Lonchura striata: one gene and its partners. The protein of the gene in region 1 purifies or fractionates together with the protein of each later gene. This does not show direct contact. Links are inferred from orthologs where the notes say so. Each region holds a gene or a part of one and is shown on either strand. Other genes may lie near its edges.

Evidence for each region.
Region 2: the proteins of ACTR2 (region 1) and CORO1C fractionate together in Homo sapiens (co-fractionation; 3 studies listed by BioGRID and IntAct, with this or other methods). This does not show direct contact. The link is inferred for Lonchura striata from reciprocal best matches to the Homo sapiens genes ACTR2 and CORO1C.
Region 3: the proteins of ACTR2 (region 1) and CHURC1 purify together in Homo sapiens (affinity purification with mass spectrometry; 4 studies listed by BioGRID and IntAct, with this or other methods). This does not show direct contact. The link is inferred for Lonchura striata from reciprocal best matches to the Homo sapiens genes ACTR2 and CHURC1.

What each region holds. Positions count from the first base shown.
Region 1 is NC_134605.1:1,572,093-1,575,838, reverse strand, and holds the start of ACTR2 (actin-related protein 2), read right to left. Parts: upstream 2,358-3,746; 5' UTR 2,243-2,357; coding exon 2,195-2,242; intron 1-2,194. UniProt on the Homo sapiens protein: ATP-binding component of the Arp2/3 complex, a multiprotein complex that mediates actin polymerization upon stimulation by nucleation-promoting factor (NPF).
Region 2 is NC_134620.1:11,362,637-11,366,382, reverse strand, and holds the start of CORO1C (coronin-1C), read right to left. Parts: upstream 2,782-3,746; 5' UTR 2,657-2,781; intron 1-2,656. UniProt on the Homo sapiens protein: Plays a role in directed cell migration by regulating the activation and subcellular location of RAC1. Increases the presence of activated RAC1 at the leading edge of migrating cells.
Region 3 is NC_134608.1:52,503,213-52,506,958, reverse strand, and holds CHURC1 (protein Churchill), read right to left. Parts: upstream 2,284-3,746; 5' UTR 2,254-2,283; coding exon 2,215-2,253; intron 2,143-2,214; coding exon 2,007-2,142; intron 1,231-2,006; coding exon 1,160-1,230; intron 731-1,159; coding exon 638-730; 3' UTR 306-637; downstream 1-305. UniProt on the Homo sapiens protein: Transcriptional activator that mediates FGF signaling during neural development. Plays a role in the regulation of cell movement.

The DNA of each region.
Region 1 (3,746 bases):
CAACAATTGTACAGGCCAGTGAGTAACTTTCTGCTTGGCCTCTAACAATAAGAGCATCCACCTCTAACGCTGCAGACCTTTGAGGTGCCATTGCCTGCCTCCCACACTATGTGTTGCAAGAACTTCCTTCGAGCCACTCACCTCTTCCTCAAAGACTGGCTGCAGCCTGATGCATCAGGAGTCCTACTGCAGCCTAACAAGAACAGCAAATTGCAAAGACGAGCCTAACGTTAAAAATTCACCCGTTTTTCCAAAGATATTCTCCATTTTTTACCTATAAGTTTTCCGACACATGGAGAGCGATTTCATTTCAATCATGCTTTTAAGTGTGAGATATCAGAAATAATGCTAAACATTTCTTGTCACATAGGCAAAATATTATTATCAAAATAGTGGCTTGACAATACAGAACTACTTGATACCTCGACATGCAATTGAGACTCAAAAATTTTACTGAATGGAATTTTTGTGCAGATTAGTTATCCCAATCCTTGTCCAATTATCCCAAATCAATCTGAACATTTTGAGTTGACTCATTTAACAATTAAAACACTCTTTCACTCTACTCTCCCACCCAAGGAGTTCTGTGGCTTCCAGGCACACATTGTTCTGCCCAAAAACCCAGCACAACCCAAAACCACACAGGCTGAAATGACACAGGCTCCTCTTGCACCATAAAGACACCTTCCACTCCTGTGGTTATTTATATCCTGCTGGTCCAACTCATCGAGGGAAAAACTGTATGGATCCAAGATGTGTCTGGAATTAACAGCATGCACAGATACCCCAGGCTGTAAAGAAATGTGTGTGGCACACCCAGCTTGGGAAATCTGGTTGGAAAAATTGCTTTTACCCTCTGTGTCACACCTGAGACCAGCCAAGGCACAACACTGCTGTCACCAGCAATACACTCAACATTTTACAACTCAGTGATTATTGCCATATAAAGGACCACACCAATGGATGAAGCTCTGAATTTTTTGTTTTGGTTTTTTTTTTTTTTTTTTTTTACTCTGGGCCTCGCAATAGGAAGATTAAAGAAAAAAGAACAATAAAAGAAGTCAAACAAACAAACAAACCGTAAAGCAGCTTCCATATCCTTTTGTAACAAGAAAATGCTATCTCCTTTTCTTTCCTTTCTCTAAATTATAGTGTAAAAAGTGCCCAAAGGCTCTGAATTCTAACCCTATCAAAGATAGCTTTTGCTATATGAGGGTTAATGAAGACATCATCACTGTCAAACCCCGAAACTGTCAAATATGATGTTCTTCTTCCTGAACCATTCTAACAATTTCAGATGCTAACTGAAAAACCCCCTAATTTAGGATGCTGAATCTGTAATAAAATAATCCTTTGTCTCAAATATTCTTTACTAGGCTTATTAAAAAAAGAAAAAAAAGTCTTTTTTGCAAGTGTTCATATAAAAAAAAAACCCTTGTTTTTTTTTGCCATTCAAGAGATCTTAATGCACCACCAATCGAGGTAACTCTGCACATAATATTGCTTTACTGGGGGAAACCTAGACTGCTAAAAGAAATTACCGAGGGGAAATAACCACCGATAGCATCTGATCTCCTCCTGCTTTAAAATGGTATCTTTTTCACTTCCTGCCAAGGTGCTTCACAGCCTGACAAAAGGATGGATTTTCCAGCGGTGCCTGCACGCTTATGGAGGCCAGGAAAGGTGGAAAGGATGGGGAGAAAACCTTTCATTTAGAAAATGCCGATTATGGGAGGTACGCGGCAGATCGGAGAGGCACGGAGGAAAGGATGATGCTCTTAAAAAAAAAAATAAATAAAATAAAATAAAATAACCAAACACATTTCCCTCAAGTAATAATCCTGCAGACACAGGACGCATCCTGACTGCCCAACGCATAATGCGCTGATTCAGAATTTTTAAAAATCGCCGTTTTTGTCTGAAGGCGCGCTGCTGAGGGGACCGGCCCAGGTCACGCAGGGGAATCGGGACCGCCGAGGGCCGGGGCCGGGCACCGCAGGGCCCGGGGAGCACGGGCACACCGGGCCGAGGGCCCATCGCCCATTCATTCCGCGGGGACGGCGGCCGGGCCGGGCGGGCGGTGCCGGCAGGAAGCCGGGCCGGCTCCGGTGGGGGAGCGCCACCCGCCTTCCCCTTCCCCTTCCCCTCCGCCCCGGCGGCAGGGCGGCTCCCGGCGCCGCCCGCGCGCACTCACCCCGGTGCCGTTGTCGCACACCACCACCTTCCTGCCCAGCGTGTCCATCGCCGCCCACACCGCCGAACGCGGCTCCGCACCGGCAGCCCCGACACGACACCGAGCGCGACAGCGGCACCGCCCCGAGCTCCGCCGGGCCCCCCGCGCGCCGCCCGCCCGCCGGAAGCCGTCAGCGCGCGCCGCCCGCCCCGCCCGCCGCCCGCTCCGCCCCCGTTGCCGGGGCGGCGGCGGCGGCAGCGGGGCACGGGCGGTGCGGCGGCCCGGAACCGAGCCCCCGAGTCACCCCGAGCCCCCCGAGCCACCCCGAGCCCCCCGAGCCCCCCGAGCCCCCCCAGCCTGCCGGCTCGCCTCCCTGCGCCCGCCTCCCACCCGTGCGGAGGTGGGGGTCGCCTGAGGGGCCGCCCGCCTTCCCCCCTCACGCCGCCCTGCCTGCTCTGCCTGCCCGCGCGGGGCGAAATCAGCCCCGAAAAGCTTCTGTTTGCCGGGGATGCTGTGTCCATTCGGCATCTCCCGAGCTTCTGCTCCTCCCACAGGCCTTGCCCAGGTTCGCCCGGCGAACAGTTTGCATTTGTGTGATGGGTTCTGAGTGAAGGAAAAGATAAAGTGTGATCTGGCTCCTCTCTGGCAGCTCCATATTTGTAAAGGATAAGCGTGACCTCCTGCATTGTCTCTGGCAGCCTCAATATTTGTTTATTGTGTTGCCCCAAATTCCACAAGAAGTCAGGAGCAACCCCAGGTTTTTCCCTCCATGCCACGAACTGTGTCGGTCCCCTATGAACAGCAGCCTGTTCCAATTGGGTATTAGATGCCAATATTTGTTTATTTTGTTGCCCCAAATTCCACAAGAAGTCAGGAGCAACCCCAGGTTTTTCCCTCCATGCCATGAGCTGTGTCGGTCCCCTATGAACAGCAGCCTGTTCCAATTGGGTATTAGATGCCAATATTTGTTTATTGTGTTGCCCCAAATTCCACTGACTTCCACAAGAAGTCAGGAGCAAACCCCAGGTTTTTCCATCTGTGCCATGAGCTGTGTCGGTCCCCTATGAACAGCAGCCTGTTCCAATTGGGTATTAGATGCCAATATTTGTTTATTGTGTTGCCCCAAATTCCACTGACTTCCACAAGAAGTCAGGAGCAAACCCCAGGTTTTTCCATCTGTGCCATGAGCTGTGTCGGTCCCCTATGAACAGCAGCCTGTTCCAATTGGGTATTAGATGCCAATATTTGTTTATTGTGTTGCCCCAAATTCCACTGACTTCCACAAGAAGTCAGGAGCAAACTCCAGGTTTTTCCCTCCATGCCACGAACTGTGTCGGTCCCCTATAAACAGCAGCCTGTTCCAATTGGGTATTAGATGCCAATATTTGTTTATTGTGTTGCCCCAAATTCCACTGACTTCCACAAGAAGTCAGGAGCAAACCCCAGGTTTTTCCATCTGTGCCATGAGCTGTGTCGGTCCCCTATGAACAGCAGCCTGTTCCAATTGGGTATTAGATGCCAATATTTGTTTATTGTGTTGCCCCAAATTCCACTGACTTCCACAAGAAGTCAG
Region 2 (3,746 bases), on another chromosome or scaffold:
GATTCTGTGTCTGGCTGGGAGGATGTGCTGTGCCCAGGGAAGTGTTCCCCAGCCCCTGCAAAGGGTTTGTCTTGGAGAGACAGGGAGAGCAAAATCCCTTTGGGCTGGCCTTATTCAATCCTTGGCCAGAAAGGGGAGCTGTAGAATTAGGGAATGGAGATAAGGAGAGCAAAATGTTCCATCAGATGCTTTGAAACAACAGCCAGGAGGGGAGAAGTGCCTCGGTGTCGCAGCAAGGAAAGAGGAAAACATGGATTAAAGGACAGCGTTGGGAGCCAGCGTCCCTGAGCTTTATTCCCAGCTCTGTGTGACATGGAACCATCTCTGTGCTACTTCCAGACCCCAGAATTGGGGTCATTCACAACTCCCCTCCCCAAAGGGCAATAAAATCCACTGTGGTGAGTGAGGGCCCATGCTGACATCGCTCCTGTGCCACTTGGAAAGGCTGGAGGATGCTGGAGATGGGTAAGGAATGGGTGAACATTAGGCCAGGATGTGCATTAATAATTGATGCTATTGTTATTAATGATTTACAATAGATTTCATTGAGCACATCTATTACTGCATCTCCCCACTCTCACACCTTTTATGCAGCAATATTGGTGTCACACACATCCCTCCCAGCTCAGCTGGAAAAAAGGCATCAAAAAATGAGCTTTTACAGCAAAAAGAAACCTCTAATTTCAAGCTAATCTATTTCCTCATGTATTTTTCTCCATCGTTAAACAGGATTGTGAAATATATTTTAATTTCTTTTCTATTTCTGCAGTGAAGGGGAGGTAGGTCCCAATACCTAATTAAAATGTTGGGCCTCCAAATAAACCCAAAGCAATTGCTTGCAACAGATGGGATTTCCTTTGTTGCTGTCTCTGAATGATTAACAAGGAGGAGAGAGACAAGAAAGCAGAACTGAAAAAAAAAAAAAAAGGAAAAAAAAAAAAGCAAAAATAAAAAGCAAGCAAGCTGTATTTTATTTACAACATGAATATTCTGACAATTCCTATCATCCTGAGCAGCAGGAAAAAATCAGGCAGGCAGGGAAGAAGCCGGGGCTCTGGGCAATGATCCCAGAGCCTCACTATTCAACCAGTTTTGAATTCTTTTGCCATCTCCTTCTGTTTCTCTCCCTGCTGTCTAGGATCAGGTTGGACCAAAGGTGCTGGAAAAATCAGAGATATAAGAAAGGAAACACATAAGGGTAAATCCAGGTGAGGTGTTCGTGTTTGAGATTTGGGAAGATCGGTGTTTGACCCAGCTTTTAAAACCCCAACAGACTGCCATGGATAGAGCAAAATGAGAAGCTGCTCTTGCTCTTCTTCCTGCTCTAGTGGAAGATGTCCCTGCCCATGCAGGGGTTGGACAAGATGGGCTTTGAGGTCCCTCCCAGCCTGAATAATTCCGTGAGTTTGTGATTTTTTTTATTGCAACATTTCCACCCTTCAGCACTGAAATATTGTCTCAACACTCCCTCCCTGTTAAAAATGTGTCAGGGGGGATTGGGCTGCAGCTGGTATTGCCTTGGGGAGGGAGCTGATTCCTTGTATTCCTTCTCACCCCCTTCTTGTGCTAGACCTGTTCCCCCCACCTGCTCCTTCCATCCCGGGAAGGATGAGCTGATCAAACATCCCAGTGCCGGGTGTGGCTGTGGGGAACGCTCCAGCTCAGCTGTACCGGCGACACCAGCCAGCCTCCCTCTCGAGGGCTGTGGAGATCCACACTCAGACACCACCACAGAGCCTGGCAGTGCTTGCAGCGACAAATACCTCCCACCACTATTTCTTTACATCGTGCAATGTGTCCTCAGCTGCTTCCTGAGAGCACAGGAGCCGTTTGTCATCCCTGCAGGGGTTTTGTCATCCCTGACAGGCACAAACTGTGCCACGTTCACGCCCCGACTCTGTCGCGACAGTAACAGATCACACCTATTTTTTAAGCAAACTCAGTTCAAAGCCACCACAGATTTCCTGTGCCTTAAAACACTTATTTTTCCTTATAAGGAAATGCACAATTGCAGATTGTCACTGAACAGAAGATGGGAGTTAAGCAGCGTGGGTCGGGTGGCTCCTTGCGGCATCCGAACTCTCACACAAACACTCATTTCTATCCCTCCTATTTTTGCAGAACTGCTGTTTTACCAGGAAAATTTCAACAGAGTTCACTTCTCCACATTTTTTTCGGTGAAAGGGTTTCCAAGTTGATGTCATTCTCCTGAATGGCTTTTTCAGTGAAGTCACAGTGCAGGAGAAAAACTTAGAGAAAATAATGCTGCTTTTTTTAATAGCTAAAATAAAATTGGCTCACCCAGTGCCTGGAGAGATAGAGGCAAATAATCCCACATGGCAGTGGGAGGATGCATCCTATGGACACTGCTTCATATTAGCTGCTGTGAGAAGCAGCAAATTGTACTTATTCCTACACAGGGGTCTGACAAAACAAATCTTTCCCCAAAACAGTTTCACTGCATGAGGGGCTTTGAACCAACACCTGATTCCCATCCTGCCTCCTCAGAGTCCGTGTGCCCTGAGCACATCCCATCTGTCACCCGGCTATTCCCAGCAGCTATTTCCCACCCACGGCAGAGTTCCCACCTGCCCTGGAACTGCGACCTCCAGGACCCCTCAGCCCCACGGCAGAGCCAGGACCCCTCACTGCTCACCTTTTTTGGGCGCTGGTGCTGCTGCCGTCCCCTCCGACGCCTTGGGCTTTTCGAAGGTTTTCTTGGCATCGGCAACTTTAAGCACATTCTCATCCTCCTGACTCTGCCTCCCCTTCCGCTCCGGCTCCTCCGAGCCCCCTCCTCCCGCAGTCCGGCCTCCAGGGAGCAGCTCGGTGCCCGCCGCTGCCCACTGCTCCCTGCCAGCCTTGGCCTCATCGCCGAGGGGCTCCAGCAGCGCCTCCGTCAGCGCCACAGCCTTGCTCATACTCAGAGCCAGGCTCTCCTTGCTGTGCGTCCTGACAGGGGGTGCCGGGGGGGTTCTTTTCGGGATGTAGGAGTCCAGTTCATCAGCTTCACCTCCGAGCTGCTCCCGGCTGTCTGGGAGCTGGCTGCTGCTCTGTCTTGAAAGCTTCCCGGTGTCTCTGGCCACCGAGGGATAATTTGTGACCGCAGGGACCATTCTCTCGAGGCTTTTCACTACCGGCTGGTCTGGCTCGGGCTTCCTGGCCGGATCCTCCTCGCTGGCCTGGCCGTTCTGGCACAGGACAAGTGTTCCATCGGGCTGGGGGGTAAAGCTCCGTGCCTGCCTCAGGCTGTCCCTGCTGCTGTCCCTGGGGATGTAGGAGACAGGTGTGCCTGCCTCCTGCTTGCTTTGCAGGATGTAATCCATGAGGATGGCGTTGCGCTCGAAGCTGTCAGACCTGACAGGCACGGTTGGTTTGTTCCCCTCTGAGGGGCCCTTGGGGCTCAGTTTGGTCACTTGCCTGCCCTCCACGCTGCTTTCTGAGTCCGAGCGGCTCATCTGCCTCCTCAGGACTCTTTCCAAGGAGTTGAGCCTGCTAAGGCTTGGGCTTGCCACCTTCCCATCCCCTGCATAGCCCTCCTGAATCAAGGGTAGCGTGTCCTCTGCCTCTTCCCATTCCTCCTCAGGTTCCGTTTCTGCCTCCTGGATGAGGCGCCGGTACTCGCTCTCCTCCAGCCTGTAGACCACCGGCCTCACCGTCCTGCCCGTGCCCACCCGCCTGGGCACCACCTCCAGCTCGTACACCTTTGGAGGGGCTTCTCCCTCCCGCCCTCTCCTGCGCCCTTT
Region 3 (3,746 bases), on another chromosome or scaffold:
CAGCTCCTTCCTTCCTCAGGAATATGGAATTCCCAGCAGGGCAGGGCCAGGTTCCAAACCCTAGGGCAGGGGAAAGTGACCCCAAACCAACTCCACGGGAAGGGAAAATCATCCAAGTCCTTTCTCTCCAGGGTTTAGGAGAGCACTGGGAGAGTGTAGTGGACTCTCCAGTGCTGGGAAGGGCCAAGGAAGAATCCCACAGGCTCCTGGGATGGAGAAAGCCTCTTCCATCAGCCCTCAACACCCTTCACCACCTCCAGGGGGCGAAGCCCACTCCCAAAATACTCCTGCTTGTGCCACCGAGCTGTCACACGTCACATTTATTACTCCATATATGAGGGCTCCTGAGGCAGGATGGGATGGGAATCCTTTTGGATCCTGTTTTGGGGACCCCTTTATGTCTTCAGCACATGGGGGACTTGGGCCGTGGCACTGCATCCCATCCTTGCAGTCAGGGTCAGAGCCAAAAGGCTCCAGAAACATGGGAGCATCCGGTGTTGGGTGTTCACTGCATCCAGGCTGGAAGTTTGGAGGAGCAAATCCTGTCAGGGACTGTGTGGTCCCCAGAAATTACAGTGGCAGGGATCCAGGGATCTCCCAGAGCTCCTGGAAGCTCATCCTGGGATACACATGGGGATCAGAACAGCGGGGTCATCTGGCGAGGGTCGTCAGGCAGGATGCTAATGGAATCCTCAGCACGGCCGCAGAGCAGGCACAGCATGGTATATTCCTGGGGGAAGGAAAAGGGGGGGGCTGGAAAAAGAGGGGCTGTCACAGCCCTCCCCCGCTATACGGAAACTTGAGCCAGAGCTGGTACCCGATCCCTGATTGCAATCAGAGCCAGGGGATCTCATTTCCAGCCCTACCGGCTCCCCTGAGCCCTTTTTCCAGCCCTTTGCTGCATAGGAGATGTGCCAGGAATGAGCAATGGGGGTCACAGCCCCCTCCCATCACCCACATTCCTATGCCAGGTGAGCTGGGCTTCCCCCACAAGGCACAGACTAATGCTGGGGGGACTCCAGGTAGCCCTGAACATGGGGATGGGGCTCTGAATCCTTTGAGGCTCTGTCCCAGGGAAGGTAGGAATCAGCCTGTGGAAGGGTGCATCTGGAATTCCAGAGACAGAGTCAGGAGGGCTTTTAGGGGACAAGAAACAAACCTGGTAGTCATCCACCACGCTGAAGGTGTACTCGTGGTGTGCAATCAGGTGGTGGCAGTTCTTGCACAGGTCTGTGGGGCAAGGGACAGTGGGGTGAGGACATGGCCATCGTCCCTCCCCAATCTCTTGGGGCAAGTCCCAGTCCTCCATGCCTGCCCTCACACCCAGGGCATAGACGTCCCAGTCCCCAAAGCATCAAGCCCCCAAAATTCCCATCAGAGCAACTCACCCCCGCTTCATGCCCATCTGCAGCTCGCTGATACTCCCTTTAAAACCTAAGACCCTCCCCCACAGGGCATCCACCCTTCTCACCCTCAGGAACCTCCGAGATATTGGGGCCTCAAATTTTCCCTACTCAAACTAATCCTCCTTTAGGTCTCTCCCTCCTTTGACCTCTGAGCCCCCCACCCCAACACGCCCCCACCCTCGAGGGCCCCCACACCCCAGAAGTTCTTCCCAGCCACCCAGAATCCAAATGTTACCACCAGGCCTCAACCTTCAAGGCCTCCACCTGTGTCCCCCAGTGTTCAAGACCCCCAGATCCCAAAGGCTTGCTCCAGCCCTCTCTAACTCTCAAGATCGTCCAAGCTCCAGACTCCAAAGGCCCTCCACAGCCTTCAGCATTCTTCAAGACCCAAGGTTCCCCCCGAACTCCGACTCTTCCCAGCCCTCAAGACCCCAAACATTCAGCGATCCCTGAACCCCAGGGATGGCTCAGGGATCCCTCAAATGTCACCCTCAAAAACCCCAAACCCCAAAGCTCCCCTCAGGCCCCCCGACCCTCAAGAACCCCAGAGCCCAAAGGCTCCCCCATCCACGTAAGCCCCCCCGGTGCCCCCCACCGCACGGTCATAAGTGACGATCTCCTCCCCGCCCTGCAGGTCCTCGGCTCGGTTGTTGACCAGCACGAAATCCCGGCGGCCGCACTGCGCGCACCCCACGAAGTTCAGGAGGAAAGATCCGCCCTCCAGGCAGGTGGTGCCCTAGGGCGGGAGCAGAGGCTCGGACCGGTGCCGGTGCCGGTGCCCGCCGGTGTCCCCCGCTCCCGCCCTCACCCGCTCCGGGTACTCGGTGCCCACACAGCCGCCGCACATCTCGCGCCGCGCTCCCCCGCAAATGTCGCGAGAACTGCGCTGAGGGGCGGGGCTCAGCGGCGGGGCGGGGCCGAGGCGCTGGGTGTGGGCGTGGCCTGGAGGACAATGGGCGTGGTTTAAGGAAGTGGGCGTGGCCTGTGGGGCCGTGGGGCTGCTTGGGGCAACCGGGAATATTTGGGGGGAGTCTGGGCTAGTCGGGCACCCAGGGCTGGTGGGGGACGCCTGGAGCTACCTGGGGGCACCCAAGGCTAGTGGGGGACACCTAGAGTGACCTGCGCAGCATCTGGGGCTAGTGAAGGGCACCTGGGGCTAGCTGGGATTACCTGTGAGATACCCAGGGCTAGCGGAAGACCTCAGAAAGTAGCTGGCGGGCATCCAGAGCTAGTGGGAGACACCCAGAACTAGCTGGGGGACATTCAGGGCCAGCTGTGGGGTGTTGGAAATTGGCTGGGGGACACTCTCGATTAGTGGGAAACACACAGGGCCAGGTGTGGGGTGCCTGTGACTAGCTGGGGGGCATCCGGGGATAGTGGGGGCACCCGGGGCTGATTGTAGGGTGGCTTGGGCTAGCTGGGGGTCACCCGGGGCTAGCTGGGGACTGCCTGGATTAGATGGAGGACACCACGGACTAGTTGGAGGATATCCAGGACTAGTGGGGTCACCCGGGACAAATTAGGGGGTGCCTGGGACGAGCTGGAGTACACAGAGGTCTAACTAGGGCGTGCCTGGGACGAGTTGGGGAACTCACAGGGCTAGTGGAGGACACCTAGGGCTAGCTGAGGGATGCCTGGGACTAGCTGGGGGGCATCCAGGGCTAGCGGGGGATACGTGGGCCGGCCGGAGGGGATGGCCGTGGACCCCCGCCGGTGTCGGCGGGGCGCTGCGCCTCTCCGCAGCCTGCAGGGGACGGTGCCGCCGCCAATGATGCTGCCGCCAATGGTGCTGCCGATGCCGGTGCTGCCGGTGTCGGTGCTGCTGCCGGTGCCGGTGGCGCTGGCGGCCGGGGGGCGCCGCTGTGCTGCATTGCGGGGCGGGCGGCCCGTCCCCGTCCCCGTCCCTGCGCCCATCCCCGTCCCCGCCCGCCCGGTCGGCTCGGCCCGGCCCTCCCGGGGGGAGCGGGGCTATCGGGGCCGGGCAGCGCCGCCGGCTCCGGGTAGGAATGTCCCTGCGCGCCCAGATAATGTTATTTATATCGCGGTGCAGGGCGGCTCCGCTCCCCCCGCCCCGCTCCCGCACCGGCCCCGCCGCCGCCGCCGCCGCTCGCCCGCCCGCCGCCCCGCGCAGGTGAGACCCCGCGGCACCGGGATGCGCCGCTCCGGGGAGCACGGGAGGCACCGGAGGACAGTGGGAGGCGCCGGTCCCCGGGGACACGCGGAGCCGGGGGGGGTACCGGCAGGCGCTGGCCGCCCCGGGGATACCGGGTGGGGGGTGCGGCACCGAACACCGGGCGCGGTACCGTGCGGGGACGGTGGGCACGGAGGAAAGTTTGGTGG